Saccharomyces cerevisiae S288C: one gene and its partner. Changing the gene in region 1 together with any one later gene gives a genetic interaction. Each region holds a gene or a part of one and is shown in the gene's direction. Other genes may lie near its edges.

Region 1 (5,839 bases):
AAAAGATTGTGCAGCGTCTCGCCATCTTTATAATATTGCTTCTTTTGGGTAACCGTAGAATTAGACAAGTCCACTAAAGTAGTAGTGGAACTAGATAGAGCATTTCCTACTTGAGTACTAGACATAGTAAGTTTGAAATTCAAAGGTTTTGATTACTATGAAAAAGTTGTAGAACAATCAAAAAATCTTACCTACTTAAACTTGAAACAAAAGCCGTGCTGAAACCTGGATGATAAACCAAGGAACGAAAAGTTCTTCTGTCCTTTCTATTAACTACACTATTATGATTGAATTTTAAGCTTATTAGAAGCAGGTTCCGCTATTTCAGTGCAATAAATGCTTTTCATTTTCGATTTCAGAATAAAAATCAGGATGACCAATCTATTGCGCAGGAGAAGTTATTAGAATGATTTCACTTCGAAATGGGCGAAAATATCTGCACGGCGCAGATTAAAATTAATCGGTGAAGAAAACGAAGATGCCGCGGCGTGTCGAATGAAAATGAAAGAAAATGAATTTTTATTTGTAGTTTATTTAGCACAGACAAGGAGAGAAATGTACAATTGTTTCGTGATAATGTCTCTTATTAGTTGAAAGAGATTCAGTTATCCATGTATCAATTCTCTACTGTCTCAGTTATGTAATTACAAAATAAGCAACGGTACCCTTCAATTTCGCAGTTGCGTTCGGGGACGAATTCTTTGTCTATTCCATTGGATTTCATAATGTTTATTTCACCCTTTGTGGGGATCTTACGACATAAATCGTTCAAACATCTTGTATGTGTTTTTTTATATCGAAGACCACAAGAGTTACATAGCTGATCTTGCTTTCTTGGCGACCACGATGGCCTCCAACAGGGCGAATCACTCGAATGACACGACACGCACACTCTTGTGGTGTGACGAGTGGGTGATGAGCCACTGGACCTTCTACTTCCCTTTTTCGTTATGCTTGAATTTGATGATCTTCGAGGGCTTTGAGGGGGAGAGTCGAGAGCAAATCTATGATAATTGGGTGACCTTGGGCTTGGAGTGTATGCCTTGGGACGCACAGGTGAGGATGATCTTGATCTCATCTTGCCACTTTTCGTCGGTGTGGAGGGAGATGGAGATGAAGATGCAGAGACAGAACTGTAACTAGCGTTGTCGAGTTTCATCACCAATTGTCTTGCAGTGTTACCGAAAACATTTGATGCTTGCTTTGAGATTTTGTTCTTAGATGGTTTCCTTACATTAGATTTGGAATTGTTCGATAGAATGTCTCTATTCGCAAGCAATTTTTTTATTTGCAAAGCTTTGAAACTGTTCGTCTTTTTGTGACTGGCATTTGGCATGGGAAATGAATTTCCACGTAATTGTCTTTGATGTTTAACTTCTTGAACCAATTTTTCACTAATAATTGGATTGAATATTGAATCGTTATTGCTGGATTTCCCCTCAAAAAAAGAGGCCTCTACTCCTCTAAGCGTCGTGCGCTCCATGGTTCTATTGGTTGGTGGACTCATCGGCGGTGTGACGGGAGGAGTAATACTCCATGCATTGTTGGAAAGATCTTTAAATTGATCTTTAGCTTCTAGAATCGAAGGAATTAGTTTGGTACGATCAAATGATTCCTTAGACGGGGAATGGAACTTGGACGACCTAGTCGATTCCAATTCCTTGCCGTAATTGAAACTATCATTATTTTGATTATTAGTTAAGTTGGGTATACTTAATGGCTTGAAATGAGCCACTTCTTCGCGTATTTTAACATAGTCTTGATAGTTTGTATCCTTACACCAATGGGTAAGATCAGTTTTCCAATTAGATGTACGTTTTGATGTATCAGGGAAGCGTGCTGCGTTTTCTTGTAAAAGAGGACTGGGTAATAATTGCAGATGCCTTAGTGATGGTAGGCTTTGTTGTGGGCGCTCCGGTCTCTTAGATAAAGAGACGGACGATAGCCTGTCTAACAATGGTAGTCGAGGTTGTGAATTAGAGGAAAAACCTAAGCCAGACCCATAGTTCAATGGATTTGTAAAACTAATCTGAGATAAGCTTGCCTTGTTGAATTCTGGTGAATTGCCTGGTGTTAATGAGGAAATTGGATTGTAATCCATATGATGTGGCGATGCTGGTGCAGTATTTGATTTTTTTCCAAGTATTTCGTTAGCCAAAGATATTGGGGAAAGAATTGGCGACACATTGAGCGAATGAAACGAATACTTCCTAGGACTTGCTGAATTTATATTGTTATCGGTTGTGATATTGTTCCTGCTGATATTACTGGATAAATTGGAAAATGAAGGCAATAAAAGATTGTCATAATAGGAGCTATTTGCATGAGAATCCGGACCAGCAGATAATGCATGCAGTGGTGTTTTGATGTATAAGCTTGACATTTTTTTGCTTTTCCCGTTATGAGAAATGTTTTTTTTAGACTGAAAATAAAAGAATGGATAGTATTAAAATAGTAATGAACGTAATAAGGATAGGACAGGAGCGATAGGAAAAGATAGAATTTTGGAGCTTTTTTTCCCTCTTTTTTTGAGCAGGAGCCAATAGTAGTCGGAAAGATGAGTGTATAGATTTTTCGTATTTTATTTCGAGTAAAAATATCACGCTCTTAGGTTCAATAAAAGAATATACTATTTCTTCAAAATGCTTCTCTAATCTATTTTTTTATTTTCCTTAATAACTGAAATATTATTTTTTGATGTAAAATGAGTGAACAAGAATAAAGGATTTTTGGTATGTTTGCAAGTTCTGTGGAGTTCCATGTATAAGGTATACATATTAGAAAAGCTTTACGATTATATACTAACATCATGTACAAAACAGTTTAATAATGATCTGTATTGCTGGCTCAATCCACGTAAGGAAAATGATCAGCCCAATCCTCAAAAATAAAATGGCCCTTCCAAAATTAGAGACATATCGTAGAAATCAGACGCACGCTTGGCGTCAATATCCTAAAACGGAAAACTAATCAGTTAGATGTGTCTTTTTTAGGTAAAAAAAGGCAACCAACTTTTTGCTGGCTAGCGATGCGACAATAAACGCGCGCAGCGAATAAAAATAAGATGGCGGAGGAGCAGAGACTTCTTTTCTTAGAAGAGGTTTTGTTACCGTATGGGGGTATGATGGTTAGATGGCTGAATAAAAACGTTAATTAAAGGAATACAGAAGAGGAAGCGCCCCGATTTCTTTTCTGTTCCACATGAAAGCAGCCGGTTGGGTGGTAGATCTCTAATGACATCCAAACTACAAAACCGAGATTGGACATATAGCACACTCTGCATTTCTACTTTCCTTTCTCCCTACAGTTTGCTCGATCTGAACCGATGCTTCTTTGATTGGACAAGATGATAGACCATGACTCCCTGTATGTATTGCAGAGATTGCCACTACTAACCAAGAAAAGTTGAACGTGTCGTACGTATAAAACGATTTATGCTTAGGCTTTACTGAAAAAAAAAAAGTAAAAAGAGGATGCGCAAACGCATAGAGCAAGTAACTAACCTGTTTTTATAGTATATACTTGGCCCCACCAGGCTGATCGTCAGGCAAAACGCCAAACTAATAACAGTAATAACAGAAATATGAACACCAATAGTAATACTATGGTAATGAATGACGCAAATCAAGCACAAATAACGGCCACATTTACGAAGAAGATATTAGCGCATTTGGATGATCCGGACTCCAACAAATTGGCCCAATTCGTACAGCTTTTTAATCCAAACAACTGCAGAATAATATTTAATGCTACCCCCTTCGCGCAAGCAACAGTTTTTCTGCAAATGTGGCAAAACCAGGTCGTACAAACACAACATGCCCTAACAGGAGTAGACTATCACGCTATTCCGGGATCCGGCACGTTGATATGCAACGTCAATTGCAAAGTCAGATTCGACGAAAGCGGCAGAGACAAGATGGGGCAAGACGCGACTGTTCCCATTCAACCAAATAACACTGGGAACAGAAATCGACCCAACGATATGAACAAGCCAAGACCTCTATGGGGTCCATATTTTGGCATTTCCCTGCAGCTGATCATCGACGACCGCATATTTAGAAATGATTTTAATGGTGTAATATCGGGGTTTAACTATAACATGGTTTACAAACCCGAGGATTCTCTGCTAAAAATTTAGTGGGAAGATTCCGCTCTACCAGGGAAAAACAAAATTATATAGAAAAGAAGGTAAGTAATAAGTAATACGAAAAAACCCAAAAAAAAAATTCAAATACCCCAACCCTGTGCCCTTTCTATTTTTATGGTTGAAAAGGTTACAGAGGATCCTCTGGAGCGGTGACAACAGTTGACGCAATCATGGTCCCTGGCGGTCCCTAAGGATATCTCGGAGGAACCGAGGCACGGAAACGGCTGCACGGGTACGCCAGATAAGGATAATTCAGCCGTCACGCATGAACAGAAGGATGAGCATTTGCTCACCTTCCTGGACTTAACTTGCGTGAATGAAAAGAAGAACACCAATGTTAGAGTAGGGCTTCGCACCAAACTTTAATCAAGAAATCTGAGGAGAAATGATTCTAAGTCTAGCCACGAAAACTGCAAAGCGCACCAAAAGTAAGAAACGACAAAGTTTTTCTAGCATTTTTTTGTTTCATCAAGAGAAGAAACACGATTTATATAACTGTTACCGCTAAAACCTACATCTAAACTTTTTAATATCTGAAAGCGCTAGTCGTGTGTACCCCCCTCAACTGATCAACTGGTCAACGAGCTTTACTTGTGGAAGTTCATGGCAAACGCTCCTTGGCTTTTGCCTAGTCTTGTTCTATGGCACATTTTTCTGTTGAGTTACACCCCGCGTGCTAAAAAAGGGGTGAACCATCAGAAAGCTTATTACTGAGTTTTGCGGAGCATCGCTCGGAGCGGCGGAATTGAATCGAACCGCCGTGCTATTACCGAACAAAAAAATTCGAAAGCATAAACTCAGTAGTGAAAAACTTGAGAATTTTCAGATGAGTGGCGACTTTCCAGTCCTTGCGGTTTTGTCACCTTAGTCAGCTAGTAAGGAGGCCGTGTGGGTTAGAGTGGCTACAATCCTCAAAGGGCACTTCTAGAACCCACGGTGAATTTTTTTTGGCATGATAAATCGGTAGAATCGGTGAAGTAATTACCCAAAAAAGGATCGGGATTGTGTTTCTCGTAATTCCGTATTATTGCCGATGGCATCGACTACTTCTTTTTTCAGAAACCCCAACAAGGGTCTATTGTAATTGTATATAAACCTTTTTGTAATGGATATATACATGTGGTACTATTTCTCCTCATCCTGCTCCATCGAAAATCCTCATACGAAGAGTTAGGAAAGCAAAGAAAACAACAAAAACATGAGGATCGAAAAGCACCGTACCCCCCTGTCGAAGGGAATTATTTGGACGATATTGTCTGTGTGCCTTTTATTCATGTTCACCACACTGATATTGGTTATTGTAGCCACTGCTGGCTCCACCGCCAACTACAAACCCTTAACGAATATATACATCGGTGAAGCCGATATCAAACACATCAATGTAAGCAAGGTGATCCCGCAGATAGGCCCTATTTTGACAATATTAGGGTCCGCTTTGACGGCTCCGAACAGCTCCTTGGATGATATTTTTGGCGCCATGAAAAATATTGCTGATACTCCCGCGCTGACGCCGCTATTGACGCTTTTGTCTAATGCTGACAACACCACAGTAACCATCGAATCATTGACCGAATTGGCTCCCTTAGCGATCAGCGGCAATCCTGCTTCTAGCACGAGGCAGTTGACAGAGATTAATGGGCTGCTGAAGTATTCAGACAACGCAACTGAAACACTAGATGGCCTCTCAAGGTT
Region 2 (5,571 bases), on another chromosome or scaffold:
CCGTGAGTTCTATATATAAATAAACATACCATATATACATGCATCATTATAAGGGTTGAAAAAACATCGCGAATCTCGCTACTTTCCTTCTATGCTCTTTCGTTTCTCAAACCCGCCAGTATAAGCAACTTTTATTACCATTGGTGACTACACGTTGCTCCTTTTTTAAGTGTAATTTACTGTTATAAATTGAGTCCAAATCTGTCGTGTCTTGTCCTGGTTTGAGAACTTCGGGAATGTTCATTGGCTTAGCGCATTTCATAGTTTTCTTTCCAATACCTAGTTGGCCATGGTCGTTATTACCCCATGCAATGACCTCGTTTTCTTGTTCAGTTTCAGTGAACACACAATGAGAGCCGCAACTCCAGTTGGTCAATTTCTTGTCATCCGACTTGATTTTTATGGGATCACATTGCGAGTTCTTGAAAGTGTTGTTGCCCAATTCACCAAAAAGTCCATTACCAAACGCGAAATAATGATGGTCTGACGTTGAGCCAGGCTTACGAATGGTCACAAACGATGTTTCATCATCACAATGAATATCCACACATTTCCAATTCGTCATCCCCGGGAAATGCGGTTTAAATGCATGCGTTACCGATCTTGGGAAAGAAACATATTCTAGATTGTACGAAATAGGTAGTGCCAATTGGCCGAACCTATTCCAGCCAAAGGCATAAATTTCACCAGTCTTATCTATTGCCAGTGTATGGTACGACCCGCAAGCTATCTTTTTAATTTCTCTTTTGCGGACAACGTCTTCTCCTTCATGCTTAAATTTGTTCAGCAGTTCAATTTCGAATAGTTGATTATTGGGAGGAAACTCATCGAATTGTGAGAATGTTGGTATACCGAATTGTCCTTTGGATACTTGAGCTTGTTTTTGATCATTTCCCGTCGCGCAGCAATAAGCCTTACCTAAATTAGATAGCAACACCAGATGATGGCTACCAGCGTCAAATTGTACTACACGTTTTTCTCCTTCCTTACCGTTGAAAATCTGATTTGTTTGTAATTTCCAATCATATCTTAGTTTTGTCTTCCATGGCAACAATTTCGACCTTCTTGATGATACTTGCGAAGCTATCAGATCCGGCGTTCTTATAGGTATGACCAATATTTCACCCTTTTTATTCAAAGCGTACAAAAAGTGACTAGAATACTTCATTGAGGTCAAATCTTGATCTGGCAATATCGTTTTTGTTTGTCCCAAATCATCCCACGATATCAAATCGCCTTTCTCGTCAATTGCAAAATTGGTGTTGAAATCGTCAGAGGGAGCTAATAGGATATCTCTGAATTTACGACCATCCAAATTAGGTACTCTAACAGGGAACAATGAGTCCTTAGAATGACACCTTCCCCATATGTATACACCAGGATGATCTATTCCAAGTTGAAAGGCAGGCACTTGAGGAATCTCCCTTAATAGATTTTTGGCCTTTTGTCTGATCAATTTTTCCAACGAATCCTGTCCACTTTGCTCTTGCGTTGCATTTATGCGACCGCCATTCATCTTGATTAACCACCAGGATTTTAATTCTGGCCAACGCAAGTAGGCCGTTCCCAACCCACCCACTACCACGAGAATGAGGATCCCTTGCCCAACAGCAGATAATTTCGCCATCCTTTCCCATTGGAGTTCAGATTCCTTTGTGATCTGATCAGGAGACTTCTCAGGCCATTGGAAATGCTCGTCTGATGGCCTTTTCTTTGCTTTATATGCGCCATGGTTAATGTTCTCTGCAAACAACTCTGCTTCATCGTATTGAGGTTGTTTGGCGTATCGCCTGATGGGACTAACCCAGTTAAGGCGAGGGAGACGTTGAGAAGTCCTCGTGAATAATCTGAATGACATTAGCGGCGCACGTCCCTGTTATCGATTGCTCCCTTTCTTGTTAGACGCATTCAACAATTCTTCGTTACTGCAGCTCAGGCTTTTTTTTTTCCTGCTGGTATACAAAAAGCAACAGTGTCCATTGACTTCAGGATATATCACTACCCAACATGCTGAACTTTAAAAAAACACATAATTATATGTATTACAATAATGTATAAATATATTTACTGTTTAATAAACTAGAATTTAAATCAAAAAAATTTCTCTTTTAAGTTAGTTCAAATGTTTGAAAAGAACTTAAGCTTGAGCAGCAAAGTATTCTGGGAATTCTCTGATGTTGTTTTCCAAAGAACCCTTCTTGGACAAGAACTTAACGAAAGCACCGTCGTCCTTGACTTCACCAGCTTCTCTCTTCTTCAAGTATTCTGGTCTGTCCAAGTTGGTGAAACCCCACTTCTTAGACAAAATAATCTTTTGTTGACCTGGGAACTTGTATCTGGCTCTTCTCAAACCTTCAACGACAACATCCTTGTTGCTGTCCTTGGTTCTGACAGAGAAGATAATTTGACCAATGTCGACACGAGCGGCCAAACCGTGTGGCTTACCCCAAGCACCTCTCATACCTTGTTGCAATCTATCCGCACCGGCACAAGACAACATCTTGTTGATTCTCAAGACATGGAAAGGATGGACTCTGACTCTTAAGTGGAAAGCATCTCTACCGGAGACAGTAGTCATGTACTTGTTGGCACAGATACGAGCAGCTTCCAAAGCTTCAGAAGACAATTGTTCCAATTCGTTGGAAACCAAATGGACACACAATGGGAATTCATCGACGGTAGCCTTCTTCTTACCCAAATCGTAGATTCTGATCTTGGAGTCTGGAACAGCTCTGTTGTATCTAGACTTTGGGTAAGGCTTGTTCTTTTGGTATCTGTAACATCTAGCTGGTCTTCTAGCCATCTTGAATTAGTTATTTGATATACTGTACTTTAAAGTTTGAAAGTCCCACTCCAAAAGCACTTGCGGAAAGGATGTATAAATGGTTGCTCCACATCAACATCTTTTTATAAACTATTCTCTAGAGAAACCAAACTGACCATCAATTCTGAGATGAAAAGTTTCCTTAGTCAGCATTATTGTGCTAACTAGTTTCGGAGGGAAAAATATCGAAAAAAAAAAACCAAAAAAAAAAATAAAAAAAATGTACGGAGGGAAAAGATGTACAGGTGTAAAAAAGCACCCCACGGAAATAACCGCTACTATAATTTCATTTCTTTTTTTTCTATATCCTGCGGAAAATTTTTTTATACTGACAGGGGAAAAAGCAAATTAATTTTGCTTTTATATATGGAAAGTAGCGGGAGATGAGATGAGGTGAATTGAAAGGCAGTTAAACACACAGACAAGTGAAGATAAAACAATAGCGCATCATGGGTAGATATTCGGTGAAGAGATACAAGACTAAAAGAAGAACACGAGACTTGGACCTGATCTATAACGATTTGTCCACCAAGGAATCAGTACAGAAGCTTCTGAACCAGCCATTGGATGAAACCAAACCGGGCCTTGGTCAGCACTATTGCATACACTGTGCCAAATACATGGAGACTGCTATAGCGTTAAAAACGCATTTAAAGGGCAAAGTGCACAAAAGAAGAGTCAAGGAGTTGAGGGGTGTCCCTTACACACAAGAAGTCTCTGATGCTGCTGCGGGCTACAATTTGAACAAGTTCTTGAACCGTGTACAGGAGATCACGCAATCGGTGGGTCCGGAGAAGGAAAGTAATGAGGCCTTGCTGAAGGAGCATTTGGACAGTACCTTGGCAAACGTCAAAACAACAGAACCTACTCTACCGTGGGCGGCTGCTGATGCCGAGGCGAATACCGCTGCCGTAACAGAGGCAGAGTCTACTGCCTCAGCCAGTACTTAACAGTAAAGTAAAGATCAGAACCAAAAATAGGCATATACACTTTTTATAGTATAACACACTTCCAGTCAACTCGAATCGCTTTTGCCGCGAAACGCAATGAAAAAAAGTACGCAACAAAGAGAAATAATGAAAAAAAAAAGAAAAAATTTTTTCATTGCTAGGCGATGAGCATCGACAGTTTTATACGTAAATCAATGGTTAGATAGATAATATTAATAACATACAAGACAATTTTTGCTTCGATTAAAGTGTTGGCACGAATTATTGTTGCGGTTCACCAACCACTATACATTTTTTCTCTTCCTTCCGCATCTTTATCTGGCCCCGGTAGGTCATGAAGTCTAGTAAGCAATTGGTTCAGGACGCTAAGGATTATCGCTTCAATCCGGCGATACCATTGAGAATTTACCTGAAAACATGCATCGGCATATTGGAAAAGGCACAGTGTGCGTTCCAGGCCAACGACTTGTCGCTGTCGTTTATTTATTATTTTAGATATGTGGATTTATTGACTAACAAACTATCTAGACACCCTGAGCTTTTGCGCATGGATGCGTCGTCGTCATCGTCGTCATCGTATATTCATAAAAGAGAATACCTGCAACTCATAAAGTTGGAAGTGCCTGCGGTCTGCAAAATTATTGAAAGCTTACGCACCCAAATTGATTCTCAATACAGCAAATTGCAAACATCACTCGCTAATAATATAGCCAAGCCGAACATAAACGCAAACACAACTCCCGTGCAGGTGGAGCAACAACCACTGCCGAAGAAATCTTTCGACGAGTATAGCTTCAACCAATCAATTTCTTTTTTCCAGAAAATTTCAAACGCACAACTTAATACCGGAGCAAGCTCTCAGAGTCAGGCCACTGCCCGTGATGAAGCCTACAGACTGAATTATCCGGAGCTACCACGCCTTACATTCTCCACATAGCATCCTTTTTTTTTTTTTTTTTCCATACCATACGAACATACATAACCTTACATACAATATTACATGATTACTCTGTTACAACACGTCTCCCCTTCTTGGTCTTGACCATTGTACTTTGGCTGGTATGTCCAATAGAGTCGCGTGCGCTACAACTTCGTCCTTGTGGGTCATGAGGTTCGTCAGCTTATCCATCTTCTTGTTCAACTTCATTAAATACAGCAGATTTAACACCAAGAGCACCAAGATTATTATGTTCACCCAGTTAAACCTCCATCTGTCGCTGCCTATTTCTGAGATTTCCGCCTCAGCTTCTGGTTTCGACTCCGGCTGTACCATCGTCAGCTCCGGTGCTGCCACTTTCCTAGGTGATCCAAAAGATGTAACACTGGGCAACGGCTTGAGTGTATCTGCTTTTTCTTTGCTCAATTCCACGTATTTCTCTACAAATTCTTCGACTAACTTTACCAAGTCCTTAGTGGCGCTAATTTGTCCATTTTTACAATTGCTCTCTACCATTGGCTTGATCCAACTGGATGCGTTCCAGTCCACCCAAAAACTTATTTTTAATATGCAACCTTGCCCCTGGTCATCCCATCGGAACATGTACCTCGTTCTGGTGCTGAAACTGGTACCACTAGGAACATTTGGTGTTCTTGTTATACTTAAAACATTTATGTACCTTTCCCAGTCGCAGTGTAAAAGAATTTCCGCTACCTCACAGTTTGTGGATTTGGGCCCCACAGGGAAATGCAGCTGTTTGGTGTATTGGAATTCTCTGTAATGTTGTCCATCTTTATTGACTTTTTCAAAAGTCCCTATGTGTGAGATGTTGGACGAATCTTGAGTTTTCAAAAAGCTTA

Evidence for each region.
Region 2: mutations in MTR2 (region 1) and BUD20 are lethal when combined (synthetic lethality), as found in Saccharomyces cerevisiae (2 studies listed by BioGRID).

What each region holds. Positions count from the first base shown.
Region 1 is NC_001143.9:91,043-96,881, reverse strand, and holds MTR2 (Mtr2p), read left to right. Parts: upstream 1-3,583; coding exon 3,584-4,138; downstream 4,139-5,839. Other genes in the region: ornithine decarboxylase SPE1, read right to left, coding at 1-125; DNA-binding transcription repressor ASH1, read right to left, coding at 617-2,383; FAT3 (Fat3p), read left to right, coding at 5,346-5,839. UniProt on the Saccharomyces cerevisiae protein: Affects mRNA transport from the nucleus to the cytoplasm.
Region 2 is NC_001144.5:280,159-285,729, reverse strand, and holds BUD20 (Bud20p), read left to right. Parts: upstream 1-3,273; coding exon 3,274-3,774; downstream 3,775-5,571. Other genes in the region: FMP25 (Fmp25p), read right to left, coding at 107-1,858; 60S ribosomal protein uL16 RPL10, read right to left, coding at 2,138-2,803; RFU1 (Rfu1p), read left to right, coding at 4,109-4,711; LAM6 (Lam6p), read right to left, coding at 4,787-5,571. UniProt on the Saccharomyces cerevisiae protein: Involved in pre-60S ribosomal particles maturation by promoting the nuclear export of the 60S ribosome. Involved in positioning the proximal bud pole signal.